Linked DNA regions of Caenorhabditis elegans. The protein of the gene in region 2 purifies or fractionates together with the protein of the main gene of each other region. This does not show direct contact. Each region holds a gene or a part of one and is shown on either strand. Other genes may lie near its edges.

What was found. Proteins that work in one complex are often made in the same cells at the same time.
Region 1: the proteins of ocr-2 (region 2) and T04F3.3 fractionate together in Caenorhabditis elegans (co-fractionation; one large-scale study listed by BioGRID). This does not show direct contact.

Annotation. Positions count from the first base shown.
Region 1 is NC_003283.11:11,757,045-11,761,080, forward strand, and holds T04F3.3 (Tyrosine-protein phosphatase domain-containing protein), read left to right. Parts: upstream 1-1,890; 5' UTR 1,891-1,902; coding exon 1,903-1,988; exon of another isoform or gene 1,989-2,036; coding exon 2,037-2,281; intron 2,282-2,507; exon of another isoform or gene 2,508-2,652; intron 2,653-2,698; coding exon 2,699-3,327; intron 3,328-3,369; coding exon 3,370-3,504; 3' UTR 3,505-3,536; downstream 3,537-4,036. Other genes in the region: smoc-1 (Thyroglobulin type-1 domain-containing protein), read left to right, coding at 624-708, 758-917, 964-1,430, 1,478-1,548; T04F3.5 (uncharacterized protein), read left to right, coding at 3,645-3,722, 3,884-3,982, 4,031-4,036.
Region 2 is NC_003282.8:8,214,073-8,221,790, forward strand, and holds the start of ocr-2 (Ion transport domain-containing protein), read right to left. Parts: upstream 6,016-7,718; 5' UTR 5,965-6,015; coding exon 5,837-5,964; intron 4,949-5,836; coding exon 4,819-4,948; intron 3,709-4,818; coding exon 3,188-3,708; intron 3,119-3,187; coding exon 2,710-3,118; intron 2,665-2,709; coding exon 2,582-2,664; intron 2,388-2,581; coding exon 2,176-2,387; intron 1,788-2,175; coding exon 1,720-1,787; intron 1,676-1,719; coding exon 1,568-1,675; intron 1,498-1,567; coding exon 1,084-1,497; intron 1,007-1,083; coding exon 857-1,006; intron 415-856; coding exon 298-414; intron 252-297; coding exon 120-251; intron 64-119; coding exon 1-63.

The DNA of each region.
Region 1 (4,036 bases), on a different chromosome or scaffold from region 2:
AAAAATGATTCCACAATCGGAAACAAGCTCAAACCTTTTCTTGGATTGTTCACGCATCATTGAGAATTTTATTGGGGATAAAAAATATCTGGGCGGGATATAGAGACTTTGAACAACCATGAGAAGTTGAACCTTCATAAGTTTATTTCTAACAACTTTTATACAATATTTCAAGAAACCTCCTGAAAAAGTTCACAAATCACTTCCTTTTCTAATTCGAAGTTCTGTGGACTTTGCATTTGAAGAGTCAACTTTTGTTTCGAAACCGGAAAATTGTATTCGATTACATCAGAATACAACATAAAAGAAATGTGACGTCGAATCTTAACACTCAGGTTCTAAACTCTCCATTTTGTTTGAAATTTCCGTTATTAAATTAACACTATAGACATCTTCTCAATTAGGTGTGAATTCCTAAACCAGAAGAACACCCACGTCACTTGAATCTTCAGCCCACACGCATTGCAGAAGAGTGCAACCTAATCTGGTTACTCCTCCTATATCCTCCGTCTTCTCCTCAATTTCACATTTCAACGGACAGCGTTTTTTTTGTTTTGAGATTTGCACATATTTCTCCAATTTTATCGTTATCTTAATTTTAATATAATATTTTTCAGTCGCTCATGCGGCCCGAACACTTGTCTTTACAATTATTGGCTTGGATATACTTGATTAATGGGAATCCAATTGTTCAGAAAGGGGGACTTGGTAGGTTTCTGATTTTAAATTTGTTAATTGTAACTTTAATGTTTTTTAGAAGTTCTGGATATTACTGACTCAAATGATTTGTCTGTTCGTCAAAGATTCGAAGAAGTTATACGTCTAGATTGTGCATCACAAAGACGAAAAGCATTAAAAAGAAAAACTGACGGAGATGCTAGAATTTATATTCCAACATGTTCTCCAAAAAACTCATTGTAAGTTTCTTCGTATACATATTTGTTAAGTTTACTCAATTTTCAGATTATATGATAAAGTGCAATGCTATGATGTTTCAATTTATTGTTGGTGTGTGGACGAACTGTCCGGAGAGCCAAAGTTAGGCTCATCGACAACAAGAGGAAAACCAAAATGTGAAGAAACTCCAACAACTACAGTTGCTCCAAAAAGAGTGAGAAGAAACAATCGGTGTAAGGAAAAGAAGAGAACACGATTTCTGAGGCGATTAGTATCAACTCTCAAATCAGAAATGATAATGAGTGGAATAAATGCAACAAAAGTTAGCAGAGATTCAGCAATTAGATGGAAGTTTAATCAACTCAATATAAATCATAATAATGTGCTTGAAAGAAGTGAATGGAAACCTTTTAAATCAGTTTTGTTAGAATGGAAGAATGTCAGACAGTGCTCCAGAAATCTTTTCAAAACTTGCGATCTGAATAAGGATAGAAAATTGACATTCGATGAATGGAGAAAATGCATTGTTCAAGGTGTGTTTTTGAGAAAAATCATCTGATTTCTCATTTAATTTTTTCAGAAATCAACCGAGTACCAGCCAAACGTCCAGATCAACTAAACCCATTCCTGTACATTTTAAGATCAGAATAATTTTAAGTTTTAATCCTCCCCCTCAATTTGCAATGTTCTTTAAAAATCTACCACGGGTAACCTCCTTCCATTAATCTATTAACCTATATTTGTCTTTCATTCACATATTTGTTTCTCAACAGCATAATAAGTTTGCTTAATTTCAGAGCTTGTAGTTGTCCGGTGTTGAAATATCGTATTTATTTGTAGAAATTGTATTTTCATATTTTCATTGTCAGTTCAAAAACAAAACATATGCATTTAAATTAAATAAAAGTGTTCACTTTTAAAATAAGCACGTGGTGATATTGAAATAATAAGAAAAAAATCACTATAAAAAGAACCTCAGAATTCAAAAAATCTATTTCGAACAAAATGGTTGGTGACGGTTCACTTTCTTCTGAATCAGTTATTGGTCTTCACACTTACAATAGTGCAGCCGATCTAACTAGTGGACATGTGTAAGTTTTCAAGGTTTTCAATAATATTTAAGCTTAATTCATTTTCAGTATGACACTTGAAAAAAACGAGTATCTATTTGATCTGAACACAAAAAACGCTTGCACTCGTCCACTGGATATTTTTATCAAACTTCTTTCAACTTCCTCTGTCGGAAAAGAGTTTTCACATTTCTCGTCTCTTCCATTGTCACGACTTCGCACTGTTGACGCTTTCTTTGATCACCCCGAATTGAATAAATTTGGAGAAATTCAAGTTTACGAGCAGACGCGTGTTCGAGCCGTTCATCGTCAAGGTAATTCAAAAACTTCAGAATAAAAATATGTAAAACTAGTGGGGCGTTACGTCATTACACATTTATTTACTACATTATATTATTTTAGTATCGCAATTTATGTCAAGTCGTTAGTGAAATTTTAACAAATTAACTGAATATTCCACGATATCTCTATTTTAGTTCCACGCCTTGATGTGGTGGCAGTACGTGAATTTCAATGTTTGACGTTCAAAAACAGAAAAAAAGCGTTAGGTCTTTCATGTAGGCGCCAAAACACCTGCCTGCCTCACCTTAAGGCGACCTTCGCCTGCATCGCGCACCGTCTATCAAAATAAATATGAAAATACCCCCTTATGGCTGTCACAAGGGACACTAAAAAGACGGAATGTCTAGATTCTGACTACCCGTCTAAATCCAATCTTCTACACATTTCAGGTCATAATTACCTCAACTCAAGTTGGATCGACGGATATCGTGAAACTCGAAAATTCATTGTCGCCCCGTCTCCTATGTCTGAAAGTGTTGCTCAATTTTGGCGGTGTGTTTTCGATCGTAATTCTCTTATTGTGGTGACACTGTGCGAGCTCCTGGATGAAAAGGGAAAACCATTTGTGCCTGTAAAGATTGGAGAACCATTGGTAATTGATGATATGACAATTGAGTTGGATAACATTCGAAAAGTTCGACCGGCAACTTACTCTTCTGTTCTGAAGATTTCTGAGAAAGGTGTCGAATCTCATAAAACAGTGATTCTTCTGACCTATAGTGGATGGGGAAAACTTGGTTATCCACAGAAACCATCTGATATTCTGGATTTATTGGCAGATATGAACCATATGAGAACAATTCTCAGAAAACAGGGACTTGAAAAGAAGATTTTTGACGACAGTCAACGGACACCAATGACATTGGTGTGTTTTGATGGATTCAGTAGAAGCTGCACTCTTGTTGCTTTGGATATTCTTTGTCAACGTCTGACAGCCTCTCATGAAATTGGTACTCCATTTGTTGATATTCTGGATACAATTGCTAGACTTCGAATGCTTCGTGGTGCAGCCTGCATGGTGATACGTTCTTTATAACTAGATTAAAATTAATATTTTCAGAAAGCCGAGCAGTTTGTCTTCTTATCAATGTCAGTTCTCGAATATGCCATTCGTCATCATTTGGTGAATGTGGAGGATCTCGGTAAAATCAGCTTGAATGGGTTTATCATTCGCAATAATCCTGAATCTTACTGACCCGTTTTTTCAAGTCTACAAATAAAAGATTCTTCAAATTTTTTATTCTCATTTTATTTCCTTCCGGATGACCTACATTAAAACTTGAGTCATTTTCCCAATTACCACCTTTTTGGAATGTCACTTTCAAGTGTCAAACAATGAATACGTACACATATCTTCAGATTTACTTTATATTTCTTCACATCTGTCACTGCCAAATATTTCAACAAATTCCAGTGAGTCCAGTAACTGGTTTGAATTTCAACAACTTTTTTAGAATCTGATTTATCTGAGAAACTATCTTTGTCAAGAATGTTATTATCTTTCAGAAAAATTTGTTAGACAATTTTCACAACGTTCGATGAAAGGATATTTCTGAAAGTTTATAGTCTTACAGGTTGGAATGGGTATGGGAATGGGTATGGGAATGCCTATGGTTATGTCAATGCCAATGCATAATCTTGTTGGAAACCCATTTGAACAAGGAATGGAAATTGTACGTTTTCATGTCATGATTTTCAATTCATAGTTCTCTAAAATTTAGGAATAC
Region 2 (7,718 bases):
TTCGATCATCTTTTTCATCTTTTCTTCCAGTACTTTCTGTCCCTTTTTGGAGTCGCGGGAAAACTGAAAGTTTGAAAAAAATTAGTTGAAATTTTGATAAGAATGCGTAATAAACAAACCGCTGATTTCTTGCTGACAACCAAACTTCTTGTTTTCTTGTTTGTTCCAGTTGGTCTTGAGTATTTCAGAAGATATTGGTGACGTTCTTTTGGACTCAAAGAAAGCTCTAACATCAAAATTACTTGAGCTCTCTGAAAATAAAAAAATCTTAATTTAATAATGCAACAACGATTTAACCTGTCGTTTATACTCCAGTTGTGTCTGGAAGATTGTTTCATATGTACGTGTCATCATGGCAATAAGCATATTAAACTGCATAATACTTACGAACAATTCGAAAAGAATGAATACAACCTGAAATCAATAAAATTATAGAAACGTGGTAATGGGAACTGAAATTTTACGTGGTAAAATTTCAGTGGAGTAATGGGAAGTATGTTTGATATATCCTCTACGGATTTAAGTTACCCAAATACCTTATTCAAATTTTTAAAAAGTCACAACTTCTGAAATACTGTCAAAAGTAGCTAGCATTTGTAAAACCCGGCTCAATTCTAAGATATATTCTAAAACAAACACTAGCAGCATTTAACTGGACCCCAATTTTGAGTTTTGAATCAAATTTCTCATGCACAAAGTTAACATTAATCTGAGCTGGCAACAACGATTTAAGTGTAGAAAGGTTAACTTTCCAAAATTTGGAATTTTTGTATAGGAAAATTTTACCAAATCGGATTTTTATTTTTGTTCAAAAAAAAGTTGCATTTGCCAAAAACTCAATTATTTTTACACTTACTTTTCCAATCCAAACCATCGTATTGGCGGGACAAAGAGCAAGGTTACGGTAAAGTACTGTAAACTCTCCAATTGTTAGAATAAATGTACGAACGAAAGCTTCAATGGGTGATTGCATTACATTCTCAAAGACTTCTGCGTTTTTCACAATCTGAAAAATTCGAAATAAAAGTGAAATATATAAAAATATAACTCATTAATTAACAAAGTTTCAAAGAATGATCTCACCGCGGTGTCATATGCACTGATTTGTCTTGTTAAATTAAATTTATTGTCCGAACCTTCCGATGCTTCTGATTGATCAGTGATCAGTTTTTTGATAACATTGGCTTCCCGTTCACAAGACAAAAAAATCAATGAAAAAGATTGGGAAAATCCCATCAAGAATATTCCGTAAATGAGCATAAACCGGAAAATGTCAGTGGCAATAATTGTATAAACCATCAAAACGAATGGTCCCACAAATCGAATAACACGACAATAATAGAGATAGTGTACAGTTGTAAAGATCATGGTAACTGTGATGAGAACGTTGTCAACAACCAAAAGTACCGGACTTAAATCACATGCCAGACGAGTTGGAATCATTGCGAGAACCAGAAAATATGTTAATTTGAACGTGATTTTAGCAGGGAAAGCAGTCTGGAAATTAGTGAATTGTATTTTTAGAAATACAGAAAATTGTAGTTTTATTTTCTGCCAGTCAGCTTACCAACACATTCCACCACTTTTTTCTTCCAATTCTCTTAATATCACGGAAATCAAGAAACACTTGAACACAAATTCCAATTACAACAAATAATTCAAAAACAAGACGGATCTGAAAAAGAAAATATGTGCCTACAGTATTTTGGAAAAACTAACGTATGAATTGGCAAATGGAATATCTGGATCCCAGTAGTTACGAAGATGACATTGGCTCAAAGGTTCCGCTGTAATTTGTTAATGATATTATATCGAATACAATGTGATTTCCCTATTAGTGCTGCATGTCATTGTTCAATCGATAATCGAAATATAGATTGTAAATTTTATTTTCGATCAATCAGCTTCCGTAAAAAATTATCGGTTCTAATCTTTTATCTTTTGGAAACTTATGTGGAAATTCAACATTTTATATGAAATATTGAGTACAAAGAAGGTAAGCTTGCTCGAGAATTGGTCGCAATACTTCTAACTCAATTTTAGCAATATAAATTAATTTCTTAAGCAACGTTCGCCAAATTCTGCACCAGTTTTAGCAAAGTTTATGTCGAATTGGGAAAAAATCAATTTTCAATATTGCTAAAATATTCGGGGTAGTGGTGATAGAGTACTTACACCATTCAACCAATCCACGCGATGTTGCATTAATCACTGGTTTAACTTGTTGAAGAGTTGAGTTTTTTCCGTATCTTCCCGGAAATGGTTCCGAATATCGATTGATCCATCCTTCAGTTAACATTTCCGTTGAAAATCCAATTGGCCTCAATGTGAATGCAGTTACAAAACATATGTAGTACAATGTGAAGGCAGTGAATGACACAATCATACTGAAATTCAGATTATTAAGAAAATAATAAAACCGTACTTCCTAGTTGAGACGCTAAGTCAGTTCTAAATAAAACTTTCTAAAAGTTTTTAAATAATAGTTTGAAACAGTGTTTCACAATTAGTAATGATTGGGTAAAATAATAAGTTTAATTAATTTTATAAAAAATTACACGCTAATTACCAATTTACTTACTTTCTTTTGGCAAATGCTTCCCATTTCGCTTCCAGCAATGTATCCAATAGGCCATCCAAAAGTTCAAGATGCTCAACAGTTTGCTGAAAATGCTAAGTTTAACGGCTCCCAGTAAAATCGCCGCTTACCCCATAAACCACAAGTGAAAGTGCAGAAGCTTCATTCAATTCTCCAGTTGTTTCATTGATTGTATCGATCTTTGCCAGTGGGTAAGCTGTTGATGAAGCATCACCATAAGCCCATACACTGTCTCCTTCCAATTCTAATATCTCGTCGAACATTTCCTTTTTTGCCAATTTCGCCGCAAGTGTTAACGGAGAAAGACTTTGTTTGTTAACAGTACGAAGACTTGCTCCACATTCTAATGCTAGCTTGAACATTGCCATATTTTCATGAATGACACACATATGGAGAACAGAGTTTCCATTTGTATCTTGAGCATTTGGATTTGCCTTGAAAGCAAGAAGAAGGCGAAATGATTCAGGTTGATTCAAACAGGCAGCAAATGACAATGGATATTCTCCAAGATACATGTTTCTGAATTTAGATTTACATAGAAAGCATGTGAAAGCATACAACCAACTAAACAAAAATAAATTGACCTACCCTGTATAATTAGTTTTCAATGAAAGTTCAACATATTCATGTTCTAATGAATCAGTTCTTGATGCTTTTTGATCATCAGCACAGAAAAATGCTCCATAACATCTTGAATTAACATCGGCTCCCAATTTCAAAAACTTGTAAACGAGTTTACAATCCGTATTAATAATTGCTTGATGAAGAGGTGATAATCCGTAAAAATCTTCGGAAATGTGAATATCATTCAACAATTTTGGATAATAATCAAGAATCTTCAAGACAAGAGCATTATGAATATCCGATGCATGAAGAAGACAACATCCAATAATTGTTTCTCCCATTGATCCACGTTCTTCCAATTTCCATGAAATTTCTCGATACTTACTTTCATTCCGCCCGCCTTTTCCACCTCCGTCCAGAAGTTTTAGTGCTTTTTTCAAATCTCCCACATTTTCTCCTTCCTGATTGAAATCGTCTAATACATTTGGCCCACTTTTTCCTTTTCCTTTCTTTCGTGAGAATGCTCCAAGTCGTTCATTTCTTTCCTAAACAAAATTATTTTGGATTTTTCCAATAAGTGACGTAACCCATTATAAAATTTTCATCCAATATCAAAACATGTCAAACACAACATTACAAAAAAAAAATTGAGAAACTTCTTTCGTTTTCAAGATTTCCTTTTGAGAACCTTATGTCCTTAAACTTAGATTTGGTTCCTTGAAAGAGGTAAGCTTTCGGAGCCAAAATTCTGAAAGCTAAATTCTAAGTTTTTGGGCGTAATACAAAATGTACCTTGTTCGTGGATTGTTGACAATTTATGTTTAATAAGTATCTGGAAACATTTTCAGGCAAATCCTACTTTTCCTGAAATTTCAGTTGAAACAGTTGTTTGTTTATTTAATCTAAATTTAAATTTAGCGGTTATTTTGTGTTTTGAGATCAATCGTATTACTATTAATAAGTACCACTGTACAGGAAAATTGGGGGTTTTTAAATCACAATATACATTCACCCCAGGGGTGTGCGGCAAAACTCAAAATTTGCCGAGCTCGGCAAATTCGGCAAATTTCTTTTTTCAATATTTGCCGAGCACGGCAAATTCGGCAATTTTGCCGCGCTCGGCAAATTCGGCAAATTTGCCGTGCCTAACAAACTCCGAAAAATTGGATACTATTTCATGCTTTTTGGAGCACCAAAACTACTGAAATCTGAACAAACATCTGGTTTCTGAATAAGTTCTGTGTAGTGTGTCTGTTTAAGCATCAAAATAACTCAATTTTGTGTGATTTCACTAAATTTTTGGCGAAGAATTCAATAGTTTTGGTCAGAATTGTACAGTCATATTTTTGATGTGTGCGGCAAATTTCAAAATTTGCCGAGCTCGGCAAATTCGGCAAATCTACTTTTTTCTAAACTTGCCGAGCTCGGCAAACGGCAAATTCGGCAAATTCGGCAAATTTGCCGCACACCCCTGATTCACCCTTAAGGGAAGGCCTTACATCGTTATTTTCACTTCTAGTCACTTGCAGAAATTAATCAAAATTTTGAAAACCCCTGATTGTGAGGTGGTTAAAATGTAAAAGTTGTTCAAGTAGAGAATCATGTATATGTTTTTAAATGATCACATATTACAAAAACTTTTTTTTTCAGATTACCTTATTCCGCAATTTGACCAACTCAGTAACTGTCACGAGCTTTCCTTTTCCACCATTATACAAGAAATCTTTGACTTTTGTTTCCAAATAAGCGTCGATAAATGAAGTATCACTACTTATAATGGCATATCTGAAAATGGAAATTTTCGCAAAAAAAAAACAGGTGATTTTTGTGAGAATTCGATGCATGTCATCGAGTACATAGACATTTCTTAGAATTTTCAGAACCAAAGGGCTCCAAAAAGATCCCTTTTTTAAAAAACATCACCATCATTTGCCGTTCCTTGTGACAAAACATGTCAAAAAGGAAACCAGGAAAGTAATAAAATGTTCACAAAAACGATTATACGAACCTATAATTTTCATGTCTTTTCGTTTTAGTTCCGTCATTCAATTTTCAATTTTAAATGGATTTGTGGAATTATTAAAAACAGAAATTTGGTAAGAAAAAATTTCAATCGAACATTGAAATGATTGCACTTCACAAAAAGAAATAATTATTAGTTTTGGAAAATTAACAAACTTTTATGAAACTATTCATTAATTTTTTCAATGTTGATACTGTCAGAATATTTCTATTAAAGCTTTGAACTGATATAGTAACACTTATAAAATATTTAAAACATACCTAATCTTTCAAAAAGTTTGAAATTCTGACAAGAAATTTATTGATATTTTTCATTCTGTTTATCAGGCAAAGCAGTTGCCAAAATTTAATTTGTATTACATGGAATGACGCATTTCGTAATACAATTCATGGAAACTCAATGGGGTTTCGTTTTTATATTTTACTTTTAATCAGAAGATAAAGTAACATTTGTTTGAGTTTTCGGCATATTTGAAGCAAAAAGAAAGGGTAAATGGAATGGTGGTTTTTATATAATTAGGTTCAGTTTACATTGAGTTCCAAAAAAAGCGGCAGTTTATTGATAAAGTGTCGAAACTCTAAGAAGAAATATTCAAATTTTGAACTATTGTTGTATACGTATTCATCAAGTGATTAGTTTAACGTTTTTACCTGAGCCATGGAAGAAGTTCCCCACCGCCATGCATATCTACAAGTTGATAAATCTTCATATCCTCCCTCAATCTTCCCATTCCCACAAAGTTATTCATGGAAGATTGGGTTGAAGATGAGGAACCCATCTTAATGATGTGATGTACTCTACTGATAAGATGATTAAGATATGTCTGAAAATTAAATTAAATGATAGAATTGAAAAAAAGCCAAAGTTAGAAAATTAATGATTTTGTGATATAAGTATCATTGAATTTTAAGACTTCCAGGCCAACCCAAAAATCTCAACTTTCTAGGCAATGCTTTCAATGAATGCCTTTAAGTCTGACTTGCATTCAAGGAATGCAGAAAACTGAGAGCAGGTCTGTATATAGGTAGGCAGGTAAGAGGTAGGCATCTACATGTGATAATGTGGGGCAGGGAAATGTATGTATGATCAATTTTGGTTCAATTTTGAACCAAAACTTAAACCAATATCTTTATGAATTGATATACTAAATTAATGAAAGGTTCTTAAAATATTGCCAGTTATATGAAATCTGGTTTTGATCCCAAGTTCCTGTCATCTATCTTTTAAAGCAGCTGACATTTTTGGCGACCCCAAGTTCATTTGTCTAATAACGTGATGGATTTTGAAATTGTATTTTTGTGAATGGCAAAAAAAACCAAAATCAGAATAACAAAACTGAATTTCGTGGCTCACTCTTGAGCCGGAGCTATAAGATGGATGGAGAAGGCGAAAAAATGGGCGTGGCTGTTATACTCAAGCTCACTCCTGAATCTCCATGAAGGGGAAAAGGAAAAGAGAAAGCATTGAAAGAAATAGAGAGAAGGTAGAATATGACACTGAAAGAAAATTGGTTGAACAGGCGCCTGCTTTTTGATTGAATTTTGGCGTGTCGGTCGTCGTGGTCGGTTTGTTGCCGTGGGAGATTGGATATCAGGAGGCAAAATGTGAAAAGAGTTTGTACAAGAAACTTCTGAAAACTTGATAGATCTTAAAAGAGTGATTTTATGGGGAGAAAGAATGAATTAAACATGTGAAGATAGTTTTAGATTTTCAAACAATCGATATTGAAACATTTTGTACCATCTTTGTATATTTATGACAAGAACAATTCGGAACTATCAAAATTAATACTTTCTAAATACATTACTAATAGTCCAACACATCTTGAGATCATAAATAAAAGCTCCGATTTTTTTTCGATTTTAAAAGAGCATAAATAAACAAAGATGATACAAAATGTTTCAATTTTATTTCGAATTTAAAAATTTCAGCCAAAGTTTTGGTAAATTCCCAGAATTTTATTAAAATGAGAACTTTCAAGAATTGCTGCAGATTTAAATATCTAGAAAACAAATACAACTGATTCAAACGTAATTAAAATACAAAGTTGAACCTTAAAGTATTTCAGTTTCAATTAGTGTTGCACCCTTTTATCTTTGTTACTAGAGCCACAGAAAATTAATGTTTTGAAGATTTTTTTGAAAATTATAGAATTTGAATATTATCTTGATACAAGTTTCTAATTGACAATTTTTAAAAGTGCCTACACAAAGTTTGAGCTTATGTAAGTGAAATCTTGGAACCTCAAATTCAAAAAAAAAGTAATTAATTTCGAAACCTTTTTTTAAATTTGTTTAAAAAATTCTAACTACTTGTGTTTGAACATCGTCGAGGTTTAAACTTGCAACAATGATCGGAATTACTCAAAAAGACCAAATTGTTTTGATAGTTTGCCAATTTTCCAAACATTTTACTGAATTGAAACAAAAATTCTTTTTTAAACTTTCCGAGTGTTGATTTATTATATTTGATCATGTTCAAGTATTATAAGTGCAGTTATATAAAGTCTCCACTAGCTCTACTCCATTTTTA